Bombyx mori: one gene and its partners. The protein of the gene in region 3 binds, or shares a complex with, the protein of the main gene of each other region. Links are inferred from orthologs where the notes say so. Each region holds a gene or a part of one and is shown on either strand. Other genes may lie near its edges.

Region 1 (4,117 bases), on a different chromosome or scaffold from region 3:
ACGTCTGCGTTGATAAATCAAAAGCGTAAGTCACAAGGCAAACGCTGGACTATTAAAAATAAAATATCAGCATTAGCCATCTTCAAGCGTTCACCAAAAGCTTACCGATATCTGCGATATCTCGCACCATTTCCGAGTATCAAAACATTGCAAAAATTAATGAAAAAAATACCTGTTGAGCCAGGTTTAAATACAGCTGTACTTGACCACCTGAAAAAACTAGCTCCCATTAAAAAAATAAGAGCAAAATTATGTTCGCTAGTCTTTGATGAAATAGCGTTAAAAGAAAGGTTAACTTATAGCGAAGCCACAGATAAAGTGGAAGGGTTTATCGATTATGGATATGAGAGGAAAGATGAGCTAGCAAATCATGCCTTAGTCTTCATGTTACAAGGTATTGGGAGAAAAATTAAACAACCGCTGGCATTCTATTTCATAAGAGGCACAGTATCTTCAGAAAAATTAGCAGTTTTAATAAAAGATATAATTAAAGAAATTACTAACTCGGGATTTCAAGTTTTATCAACAATATGTGATCAAGCGCCCACCAATATGGGAGCATTAAGTCTGTTAAAGGAGTGGAACAATGGTGGACATAATTATTTTGAATTTGAAAATAAAAAAATTTATATAATTTATGATATTCCACATTTATTAAAATCACTGAGAAATAACTTTTTAAAACAAGGATTTCTGAAAATGGGAGAATTGAAAGGTCAATGGAGCCATTTAGTTGAGGTAGAGGAACGAAATAGAAATTTTTTATATCTTAGCAAACTCAAATCAACTCATGTACAACCAAAGTACAGAGCTAAAATGAAAGTTAAGTATGCCGCACAAATATTTAGCCAAACAGTGGCTGCTGTTCTTAAATTATTAGCTACGAATGTGGAAAATGTACACCGATCAGATGAAATATTACAGACTGCTTTGTTAATTGAAAAATTCAATAAACTTTTTGATTATACAAATGGGCCATCAGGACATGCTGACGTAAAAAAAGGTATACGGGAAAACGTATCTGCTAAAACTGACCATTTAGCTGTTTGGACAGAATATAGAAAGCAACTGTCTACTTTAACATTTTTCAACCATAATGGCGTGGAAGCAAAAAATGTAAAGTGTGTTCAAGGCTACATTATATCATTAAAATCGCTGCGTGATATTTGGCTGGAAGTTCAGGATTTAGGATATAAGTATTTGAATCTACGGCAGTTAAACCAGGATGCATTAGAAAATTTATTTGGGTTAATAAGACAGCATGGTCAAACAAACAAGCATCCGACGTGTTCTACATTTATAGCAGCTATGAAAACCTCTATAATATCAGGACTTACCGCCCCTCACAGCAAAAACTCCAATTGTGAAGAAGACAAAAAGGAACTCATGACGGATTTTCATGATTTAGTTTTTGGGTTTAAAGACGAAGATGATCAAGGTCAAGATATTAATGAGTCTCCTAGTCATGTTTCCACAGAAAATGAAAATGAGGAAGACAACCCGGTTCTCAGTATACCTGAAGAAGAAGAATATAAAGAAATAGTATGTGACCTAGCAAAAATTTCAAATCAACCAGTGGTCTATATAAGTGGATATCTAGCTTCTGTTATTCTAAAAAAAAATGATTGCCAGGTCTGTAGAGAAACTTTGACAGTTGCAGATCCAGAGGAAAATAAGATTTATGATTTAATTAAATTAAGGGAGTGGTGGCAAGATAAGAAATGTTTGACATATCCATCATTGCAGTTGTGTCAAACTGTACACACTGCGGTTACAAATTTTGAACAGTTTTGTATCCCTAACCTACATAATAACAATATTTGCCAGTGGACAATTACTATATTTTATTCAAATTGTAATACAGAGTGGCTATGCATTAATCATCGTCAACAAATGTCAGACTTATTGTTTACAAAATTGGCTCTAATGCTGATTCGGCGACAGTGCCAGATAATTAATTTAAAGCAAGTTTCAAAGGAAGAGGATTTGGCGGACGCGAACAAAAGGGGTCAACAATATGGTGTTTCAAGATAATTACATAATTAGTTTTTATTTGTTTTTTGTAGAAAGAAGTTAACTTCGGGTTTGAGTTCAAAAAAAGTATACATTTAGAGATTTAGAACTTTATTTTTTTACTATTATAAAATAGAAGTTTTTAAAAATTTACTCTTCAAATGGAAATAGAAACGAATTGTTTTTTATTTAGCACAAAAATTTTCAAAACCTAGTTCGTTATAACATTATAAAACAAGGTTGAAAACCTCTACATGTATACTTATTGTACCTTGCATAAAATTAAGTAAATATTGGTTTATATTGTAAAATAAAAATTAAACATTTCCGATACAAACTTAAAATTTTTTGTAAGCGTTAAAATTCTACTTACAAATTTCATTAAAATTATACTAAGTAATAAAACATTGTTTTATTTCTTTTAAAATAATAAAGTTTTTATTTCAATATGCAATCCTTGCCTGCATTCGATATCGACAAAAATATCGATAATATTCGCATCATTATTTATTGGACATCGATATTAATGCCCATCACTATTTTTGACAGTGGTAGGATTTTTGTAGTCTGTGGTTGTTTTAATGTTGTCACCAGATCGGATCTGATCCCATACATTTTCATTTTGTAACGTTTACTATGAAGTGCGGACTCTTATAACGTAGTGATTATATACTCTTTGGAATTTTGTCAATGAATTTAACTTTTCTACTATATTCTACCGTCTGAGACAGTGCTGCCACTTCCAAAATTAAATAAGAACCTTTGACACGGCGATATTACGATTATAATTTTGGAAATTATAGATCTTGGACATCAACAATATCAGAGGTACGTACGGTCAAGCTACTGCCTATTGCAGAGTTCTTCTTAAGCCTTGTCAGAAACTTGACAGCTTTGATCGAGCTACTTTTTCCCGGCCATAATAAATCTACGTTATTTATGGTAGTAATATGGTCCTCATAACTTGCTGAAAGAGATTTTAGCATGAGTTTTACGATCGGCCGTCTGTCTGACATGAATCTTTCTTGGGCTAGTAGTATATCCATGGCAGCGTACCATGGGAGGATACATTATAATTTAGATTTTTAAATACAAAATATCACGTTTTATGAAATTTTATGAATTTGCATAAGAATATCATAATGCATCATTCATACGAAACATAAAAACAGAAGCTTAAAAGGACACTCAGAACAAATAGAAAAAGAAGCATCTAGTGGGGTGCTAGATTGTTGGGGTGTTTGATGGTCTTTGGCAAAAATGTCTGAAAATATAATATTATAGATGATCACAATGGTTGCGTTTGTAAAGATAAACTCATCAAGCCTTCCAACGTAACTTCTGGCAGTAGCCAATAGAAAAAAACAAAAATAAGGCAATTACTGGCTGCTAGGGAAAATACATAAATAAATCTATTCTAGCACTGTACAGAATTCTAATGATTGTGAACTCAGGGTCTATCTGGTTGCTGCTCTAGTTGGTGGGTTCTGAATTCATAAATTTAACAAACGCTTTCGTGCACCGACTCTTAGAGTATCTAGGTTACCCCTTTGTTCAAAATGTTTTACTTCCATCCGTCCGTGCTACTTTATACAGTCCTAGATCACAAATAAACGCAGTTTATGGTATAACAATCCAAAAAAATATGAATCACTGTGGTTGTATTAATGTATACCATCATTTATAAGCTTAAGCTATTAGGCATGCCTAACCGCTAACCGCTTGCCAAAACCGAATTATAAAAAATATTAAAAACTCCGTAAAGTAAAAACAAGACCGAACCAACAGATAAAGTAAAAAGTTTTACAAAAAGACTGTTAATATACGTCTATACAGTATATCATACATTTTAATGTATTTAAGCATCGTACGAATGTCATCGATTTAAAATCGAAAAACATCGATCCATTAAACGAATTTAAGTAATTTTTTGCCAATTAATATTTAATAAAACTTAATAAAAATATTTATATCTGTGCTTCTATTTTATTAATAATGCACTGCAAGAAGCTACTTCAATGGTGGTGAAAACTCATATTTATTTCGTAATATGCAAACCTTTATTTTTATACTAACAAAAACATAAATATTGTAAGTTGGCAAC
Region 2 (4,348 bases), about 8.2 Mb from region 3:
TTCCATAAAGCAACCAACCATCTAAAAAGCATAACAACACCTGTTGGTTGGAAAAATTTCCAATAATACTTTCCTAGAGATGGTTTCAGGAAATGCTCAAACTATGTTACTGCTTATTTCTCAATTAATATTATTTAATGTTAAGTTATCGATCCATTTAGATGACTGGTTATATGATACAAAATTGAAATCTGTGCAGAAATAATTATGGTACCATAATATTTGTTCATTCAACTAAACAGGCGCCTTTTCCAACAATGACATCAATGGTCACATTTAAATTATTCTACACAGACATATTATTTACAGTCAAAAACTTTTAAAATAAATAAAGATTCAGAGATTTTTAACAGACTTCACAGAACTTGTTAGATGTTTTAAATTATTTCTCTAATCAGCCTATTATGTGTTTACATATCTAAGTGTTTAGTAATCAAGGACTTCAACAATAATATCTATTGTGTTCTCATTCACCATGTCAAATAATTAACTGATCACCTTGTCAGCGCTGTGTCCTTGTCTGGCAATCGCAGAATATTTGACTCTCCCAGACTCATCCAGCTGGACAGCAAGAGCGTTTGAAGTACTCTCCTTGCCTCGCATTCCCATACCAAGCGGGTACTGTGCCACATGGATCTCTGGGAATGCTCCGCCATCTAAAACATACAAGCTTTGAAGCAATACTGCGTATATAATTAATTTTAGGTGTAATTTGAAAGTACAGTAAGACCCTGACATAATGCTGACTCGTTCAGTGGGATTTCAGTTTAACTCTCTTTTATTTGAATTGTAAGATTTGCCTGAAGAAGACCTGAAATTGCACACGGCACTAGGCTTCCCGATATCAGAATAAATTATTCTGTGTTTTTCCTATCCTGCAGTGTTATCCAACATATTTTTATCATTTCAAACATTTGTTGGTGTTATTGTAAGTACAAATTTATATGATACAATGATTGATAAAGTGACAAATATTTTTATTTTAAGTTTTTATCATGGGTGTTAACAAAAACACAAAAATAAAGCAACAAGAAAAACTATTTCCCTAGAAACTAGATGCAAGCTAATAGAAGATTAGATACTGGTGAATGTCAATCTGAAATTGGTGCTGCATTAAATTTGGCAACGACAACAATAAGGAATCTGGCAATTTTTCCAATGAACGTACTTAGCAAATGTTCACAAGTGATTTCCACTGTGAAGGAATAACATCACATAATAATAATCAAATCCACAAAATTATAATGCGTAATTACTGGTGGTATTACGTATTGTGAGTCTGCACGGGGATGTATCACCACCCTGCCTATTTACACTATAAAGCATTAATGAGTTTCAGTTTGAAAGGTGGGGCAGCCGTAGTTAAAGATGAGACCTTAGAACACAAATCTGAGGGTGGGTGGTGGCATTTACGATGTAGATGTCTATAGGCTCCAGTAACCACTTAACATCACGTGGGCTGTTAGCACATCCAACCACCTGGCAAAATAAAGGCAGAAAATTGGCAATACAGAAGAAACTGTATGAACTGAAATACAACATAAACATACAGACTATATTCATTTATTGTTTCTATATTTGTAAGAAATAGATTATTGTTTTATAGGAGAAAGATAGACAGAAAATTGGTGAGGTATTTAATGTTATATACCTCACCAATTTTCTATCTAACCTAACCCCATTATTTACATTATGAGATTATGTTTAATGCTGTTTCATATTAAACTCTACTTTGATGGAATGTATATTATCACTCATTAAGCAAGTTCTTACTGTAAATATATTATTACAATTTACATTTATTTCATTACACAAGCTTGTATACACCTGTATCCCAAGCCATCACAATAGTTACTAAGCTATGTATTTTATTATTAAGATTATATTATTAGGCTATGTAGTTTTATGTCACAAAAACCACTTTAATTATAATAACCTGGTTTTTTATGTAAGAATGACATTCAGAATTACTGAAAGATCTAGTTCGGTATCCAGATTCCAACACCCTGCGGCATACCGTCTCTCAATTCACATGAAAGCCACAGCTACTGATTAATATCTGGTTAAGCACAGGTCAGAGGTAAACATGCTATTGTATGCATAGAATCAATGATGACACTCTTTTTCTGACTTCAAATAAAAAACCTAGTTTTTGACTTGATTCTCACTTCGGGGGTTATTCCCGTCTCTCAATTCATATGAAAGCCACAACTACTGATTAATATCTGGATAAGCACACGTCAGAAGTAAACATGCTATTGTATGAATAGAATCGATGATGATACTCTTTTTCCGACTTCAAATAAAAACCTACTTTTTGACTTGATTCTCACTTCGGGGGTTATTCACTTTTTTATCTACAAAATTTAACAGACCTGCAAAATCTTCGTCTCTTCGAGGTACCCATCCTTTCCTCTCACCGTAAGGTGGCACACTGGTCTGGGACACTACAAGAGCACTCCCGACACGTTTAGCCTTCAACTCATCATCTCTATCCCACACTTGCTGACTAGGGGCAGGCAACAAGCTAAAAATGAAACGTGAACCACGGTCAGTTTGTCAATACGTAAACGTATGAAATTATTTATTTACAATAGTTAATTTAACTAGTAGCTTTAATCAGTTATTATTTAATTTCGGCGTTTATTGTATATTCAATTTCAAGTATTTAAGTTGATTGTTTTCATTTAAAACACACCTCGACAACGACGCCATTTTTATGTCTGAATCTGAAATACCGTAGACATTTCACTAATTTGACATTGTTCATTTATTTTGACATTTGATTTATTTCTCTGTACGATTCGTCCAATGGATAGTAAAGAGAACTATCCTTCAATCTGATCTTTTGTTATAAAGTCGTATGTCTGAAAAATGGAATGGAATTGTTTTTATGTAATCTAATTTTGTGATAAAATGAATGAAAGACAATTTGAGTTTGATTTTTTCTTCCGCAGAGATTGTAAACTAATGCTGAGGGGGTCTTTTCAAATAACACAAGACGTATTATGTAAATCAAGGTACACTGTCAGCAAGGTAGACATCCGAACCAACTTTTGTTATTTAATTTCGCCTATACATTAAATAGTACCATTGTTGTTGATCATTGAACGGTTTTTTTGTTATCAATCCTGAAGGAATTCGCAATAAAAATTCATAGTTCTCGATGCTGTTTTTAAAATGATATTTCTGAACGATTTTTTTAACTTGACTGAAACAAAATTATTCACAATCACAAGTCATCATTCTTTTCGAAATATATGTTTTCGGACTGTCTTTAGAGTTTAAAATGAAAAAAATATTATCATTATCGCCATAGCAATGAATTTTAATGTTCAAAATTTCAATGTTTCAAAATGGTCACAAAAAGAGGTGGAGACGAACTGTCAAATTCGTATATAAATGAAGTAGGCTGCGAACGTCTCCCTTTTATAACCTCAAAAATGCGCGAGAAGTAATAGTTCTATAGACAAATTTAACTATTTTTCCTGTTTAATTGGTGTTATAGTGAACGTACATACAAAATGCCGTTGAAGAAGAGAAAATACAATGCTAGATTTCCACCAGTAAGTTCAAAAGTTCTTAAAAAATGTTCAAAAACCTTAAAATATGTGTTGTTTTCATGTATAAAAGTCTGAGATTAGTGAAATCATGACATTGTTTGTTTGTAGGGACGTATCAAGAAGATAATGCAGACGGATGAGGAGGTGGGGAAAGTAGCACAGGCAGTCCCCATCATAATTTATATCCTTTTCAATTATAATTTTATAAAATATCTATAATTTCATAGCAGTCTGTCTTTAAGTCAACACAGACTGTACAACATTTTCTTTACTATTTTAACAAAACGTATTTGTTCTATGCAATTCTTTTGGGCCAATTAATGAGCAAACAAATGTGCTATTAGTACAAATAGGGACTAAGCCATGAAAATGTTTATGTAATGATTATTTATTATGTTTTATAGTCTGGGTGCTCTTTAGATTATATCATGGAAGATAAAGTTTTTTTTTTCTAATGACACATAACTATTGTGTATATGTATGTGGAAATTGTGTGTATTACTGCTTAAATTAAGCAGCCTGCAGTTGGAAGATAATCACTTAAATGCAATTGCATTGGATTTTGAGGGGCTTGATGTGAAATTTACTTAATAAATCATCTTGAATTATTCTATTATGAAAGTGAATAAAAGATCCCTGAACTCTTAAGACACTAAGTTATCTACCTCAGAATGTGACTACTTACATTACAAAGATTTCTCACTTTAGGGAGCTAAGGAAATTTATTTTGAGCAAGACATATAAATATAGTTACTGACTTCATTGCAATGCAGGAACAATTCTAA
Region 3 (3,657 bases):
GTCTAAGGCATAAATGAAAAACGCTAGTATAGAATCTTTTGTTTTTTAAGTGATTTTATGACCTGGTAACTAATTCCTTTAGGTCATGTCTTATTTTAATTTATATTCTTATTTTTATATGAAAAATGATAACATGGAGTGAAATGAAATGAAGATGATTAATTTGAGATATTAATCAACCGGGATGAAATTAAATGAAATGAGATGATATGGGATGAAATATAATCTCAGTAAAATGGTGGTCATTTACTGAGATTTTGTCAGTAGACTTTTTGGAGGATCCCGAGAAGTTACATCCAGCAGCTTTGTTTTATTTTCCCACATATGAGCATCTTTCACTTTCATATACTAAACAGTTAATAAACCACCGTTATTACACATTTAAACCTGAAGAAACACTAAATATACAGAATAAAACAAATCAGACAATTTCACTACTCGCGTTCCCGCCAAAAAGTCCGACAACACCGTTGGTTAGTGTTGCCAGACCCCCGGTGACCCCCCCCCCGTCCCCCTTACAAGAGTGGAGCTACACGTCACCTGTGCGTGACCCCCTGTAAGTTGTAGTAGTTGGGGTTCTGCGTGAGCCGCCGGTACAGGAATGTCCAGGTCAAGTAGTCGACGGCGTCTTGCTTGTTCTCTATGGTCTTCGTCACTATCTCGGCGTTCATGTGATCGTGGAGTCTGTGGTCCAAGTGACTCTGTTAAATAACAAAAGTACCGTTCAAATTTAAGAATTTATTGTATAGAAAAAAGAAAAAGAAAAAAACAGCTTCCGTAGCGAATCGTATTGAAAATTTGGATTTTTTGTTGAACTTAAATAAATAACATAAGAGAATATGTGTGTATTTAATAATAAAAGATTTTTATAAACTCGACACTGGCAACAATTGCCATAGGTAAAAAAAGAAAGAAATTGAATTTTATTTTTGTCTACTATACACCATGAAACATGCACCGTCACATGGATATTTACATTTATTAAATATAATTATTACATTAAAAATATATATTTATAATTTGACTATATTACATATTTGTATTATTTTCGGTGTTCAAATTATGTATCAATGTACTTAGCGTTATTTTCTTTCTCTCGTGATGACGAGAGATGATGATGATCTTTTTCTCTCATGATGGCATCATCAATTTCAATTGATCATTCAAGAACGCCTTAAGCTATAAGCTTGTGAACATTAGGAGTGGGTAATATCGGTTTTGCCGCGTATCGAATCGTATCTATATATCGAGGATCAATATCGGATATTGAATCTATATATTTTCTGAATCTATATATTGATGGATGCTAGTAGATTTTCTCGATTCATGATATTTGAGATTTGAAACGATACGCTGATATAATATCGTAGTAGATATAGATTTTAAGTCAACGTTATACGGTTGGTTTTCTGATATCAATTTATAATATGATCTTAAAGTAATAAAAAGAACATGAAAATAAAAATATCAAAAAAACTTTCCTTCATGCTTTTACCAGGCTTAGGACTGGCTACATTATTTTCAGTTTTTAGTATTTTGTGTCTTAATTTAAAATTACAAAATATACCAAAAGAGTGTAGATTTCAAAAGTTTAATACAAACACAAGAAATAAACTCAATTATTTGGATTCAACTAAAAATAGAAAAATGTGTACTTTTAAAATCAAACAAAAAACTTTTAAGTATTTATAAACACTTGTCCAAAAATTCTAGTTCAAGGTCAAAGCGTGTGAAATCAAATTCAACGATGCAAATAGGCTATACTGCATTCAAGTTAGGGTCGAAAGTTGAAACTTCTTTCCTTAATTGTATCCTGCTGATACGCTAAGAATAATCTACAGACATATGGACTTAAATATAAGGTTTACAATTGTATGGATAATGCCTGTTTCTGTTTCATTCATCATATGATATTCCTATCGTGCGCTCGCTCACTCTGGCCGATTCGATACGAACCAAACGAATATTGCTGATATTCACGACTCGGTCCGATATGCCGATGCGCATCACATCGAGCAATATCGTGTATCGGCTGATATCGTTATATAGATTTCGATTCACGAATCGGTACGATATGCCGATGCGCATCACATCGAGCAATATCGTGTATCGGCTGATATCGTTATATAGATTTCGATTCACGAATCGGTACGATATGCCGATGCGCATCACATCGAGCAATATCGTGTATCGGCTGATATCGATATATAGATTTCGTGCGGGGCGATATCGGATTCAACGATATTGCTGCGATATATAGATATTGAATCTATATACGATTTATATCACCCACTCCTAGTGAAAATACACACGAGGTGGGTGGCGAACTCATCAAACCGTATTTTATTTATTGCTTAGGTTGGTGGACGAACTCACAGTCCCCCCCCCCCCCACCTGGTGTTAAGTGGTCATTGGAGCCCATAGACATCTACAACGTAAATGTCGTCATCCATCTTGAGATATAAGTTCTAAGGTCTCAGTATAGTTACGAATGCCCCGCCCTTCAAACCAGAACAGGCAGGGCGCACCCGCACGGACTCACAAGAGGTCCTACCACCAGTAATTACGGAAATTACAATTTTGCGGGTTTCATTTTTATTACACGATGTTATTCCTTCACCGTGGAAGTCAATCGTGAACATTTGTTGAGTACGTATTTCATTACTATTACTATTCGAAATCCGGCCGGGTACTGACTTACTATTCGGCCGGATAGTGAAAACATGGCCGGATAGGGCGGATACCGGGTTGTTACCGGATATCCGGTTTCATCTCCAGTCTGAACCCAATGAGGTGTCGCCTCACCTCCAGCGGCAGACAGTCGTTGAGCAACTTGGTGAAGAAGGTCTTGTGGTGCGCGGCGCACATGAGCACCGCCACCGAGTGGTCGTCCTCCAGCGGGCGGCACGCGCGCCCGATCATCTGCAGCACCGTCGTTATCGGGTACTGCTCGTACGAGTGCAGCTTGCCGTTGTACCTGACCAGGATACGAAAGTTAGTTAGTAGGAACGTGAACCAGTATCGTGAAAACCCTCAGACACAGCCCACTGAGTTTCTCGCCGGATCTTCTCAGTAGGTCGCGTTTCCGATCCGGTGGTAGATTCTGCGAAGCACGGCTCTTGCTTGGACTAGTGTTAGCATCACTCCGGTTTGAGCCCCCTGAGCTCATCTACTAGTTAAGGTTACGCTGATATAGCCTCTCAAGGCTATCAGCTTAGTTAGGAAAAAAAAAGTGTCGTGCATACAACAATAATACTGTTACACCGGTAAGAGTAACTCCATCTATCGCCGAATAGTCGAACGAATATCGAAGCACCTAGACTACTCGAGAAGTACAACGCCATCTATTGACAGATAGCGGAAACTACGACTAGATATGTGTGGAATATTCTCGATAATTTTAAGAATGAGGTATCGACTATAACAGCGGTGTAGAGATGGCACGCAGTCAGTCAGTAATCGGAACTACTCGAAGCGAAACAGCGAACGGCTCTACAAGAGTAAGTATTGAGCCACTCGAAGCCAAGTGTCCGCCCCTCCCCCGGGTAGCGTGCGCGACTCACGTGCACGTGTCGGCCACGATGACGGTGTGCACGTGCGCGGCGAAGCTCCAGGCCAGCTCGGCGGCGACCACGCACAGCTGCGCGGCGCCGCACT

Evidence for each region.
Region 1: U5 small nuclear ribonucleoprotein 200 kDa helicase (region 3) and small nuclear ribonucleoprotein G share a complex: the UniProt entries of both Homo sapiens proteins name them as parts of the U4/U6-U5 tri-snRNP complex. The link is inferred for Bombyx mori from reciprocal best matches to the Homo sapiens genes SNRNP200 and SNRPG.
Region 2: U5 small nuclear ribonucleoprotein 200 kDa helicase (region 3) and puff-specific protein Bx42 share a complex: the UniProt entries of both Homo sapiens proteins name them as parts of the minor spliceosome. The link is inferred for Bombyx mori from reciprocal best matches to the Homo sapiens genes SNRNP200 and SNW1.

The regions. Positions count from the first base shown.
Region 1 is NC_085133.1:8,591,003-8,595,119, forward strand, and holds the start of small nuclear ribonucleoprotein G, read right to left. Parts: upstream 2,841-4,117; 5' UTR 2,693-2,840; intron 2,419-2,692; exon of another isoform or gene 2,035-2,418; coding exon of another isoform or gene 1-2,034. Other genes in the region: uncharacterized protein LOC134201547, read left to right, coding at 1-2,034. UniProt on the Homo sapiens protein: Plays a role in pre-mRNA splicing as a core component of the spliceosomal U1, U2, U4 and U5 small nuclear ribonucleoproteins (snRNPs), the building blocks of the spliceosome.
Region 2 is NC_085130.1:3,027,493-3,031,840, reverse strand, and holds the start of puff-specific protein Bx42, read right to left. Parts: upstream 2,841-4,348; 5' UTR 2,716-2,840; coding exon 2,699-2,715; intron 2,528-2,698; coding exon 2,376-2,527; intron 657-2,375; coding exon 499-656; intron 1-498. Other genes in the region: uncharacterized protein LOC101746654, read left to right, coding at 3,525-3,566, 3,672-3,744. UniProt on the Homo sapiens protein: Involved in pre-mRNA splicing as component of the spliceosome. As a component of the minor spliceosome, involved in the splicing of U12-type introns in pre-mRNAs.
Region 3 is NC_085130.1:11,236,956-11,240,612, reverse strand, and holds part of U5 small nuclear ribonucleoprotein 200 kDa helicase, read right to left. Parts: coding exon 3,564-3,657; intron 2,978-3,563; coding exon 2,806-2,977; intron 702-2,805; coding exon 541-701; intron 1-540. UniProt on the Homo sapiens protein: Catalyzes the ATP-dependent unwinding of U4/U6 RNA duplices, an essential step in the assembly of a catalytically active spliceosome. Plays a role in pre-mRNA splicing as a core component of precatalytic, catalytic and postcatalytic spliceosomal complexes.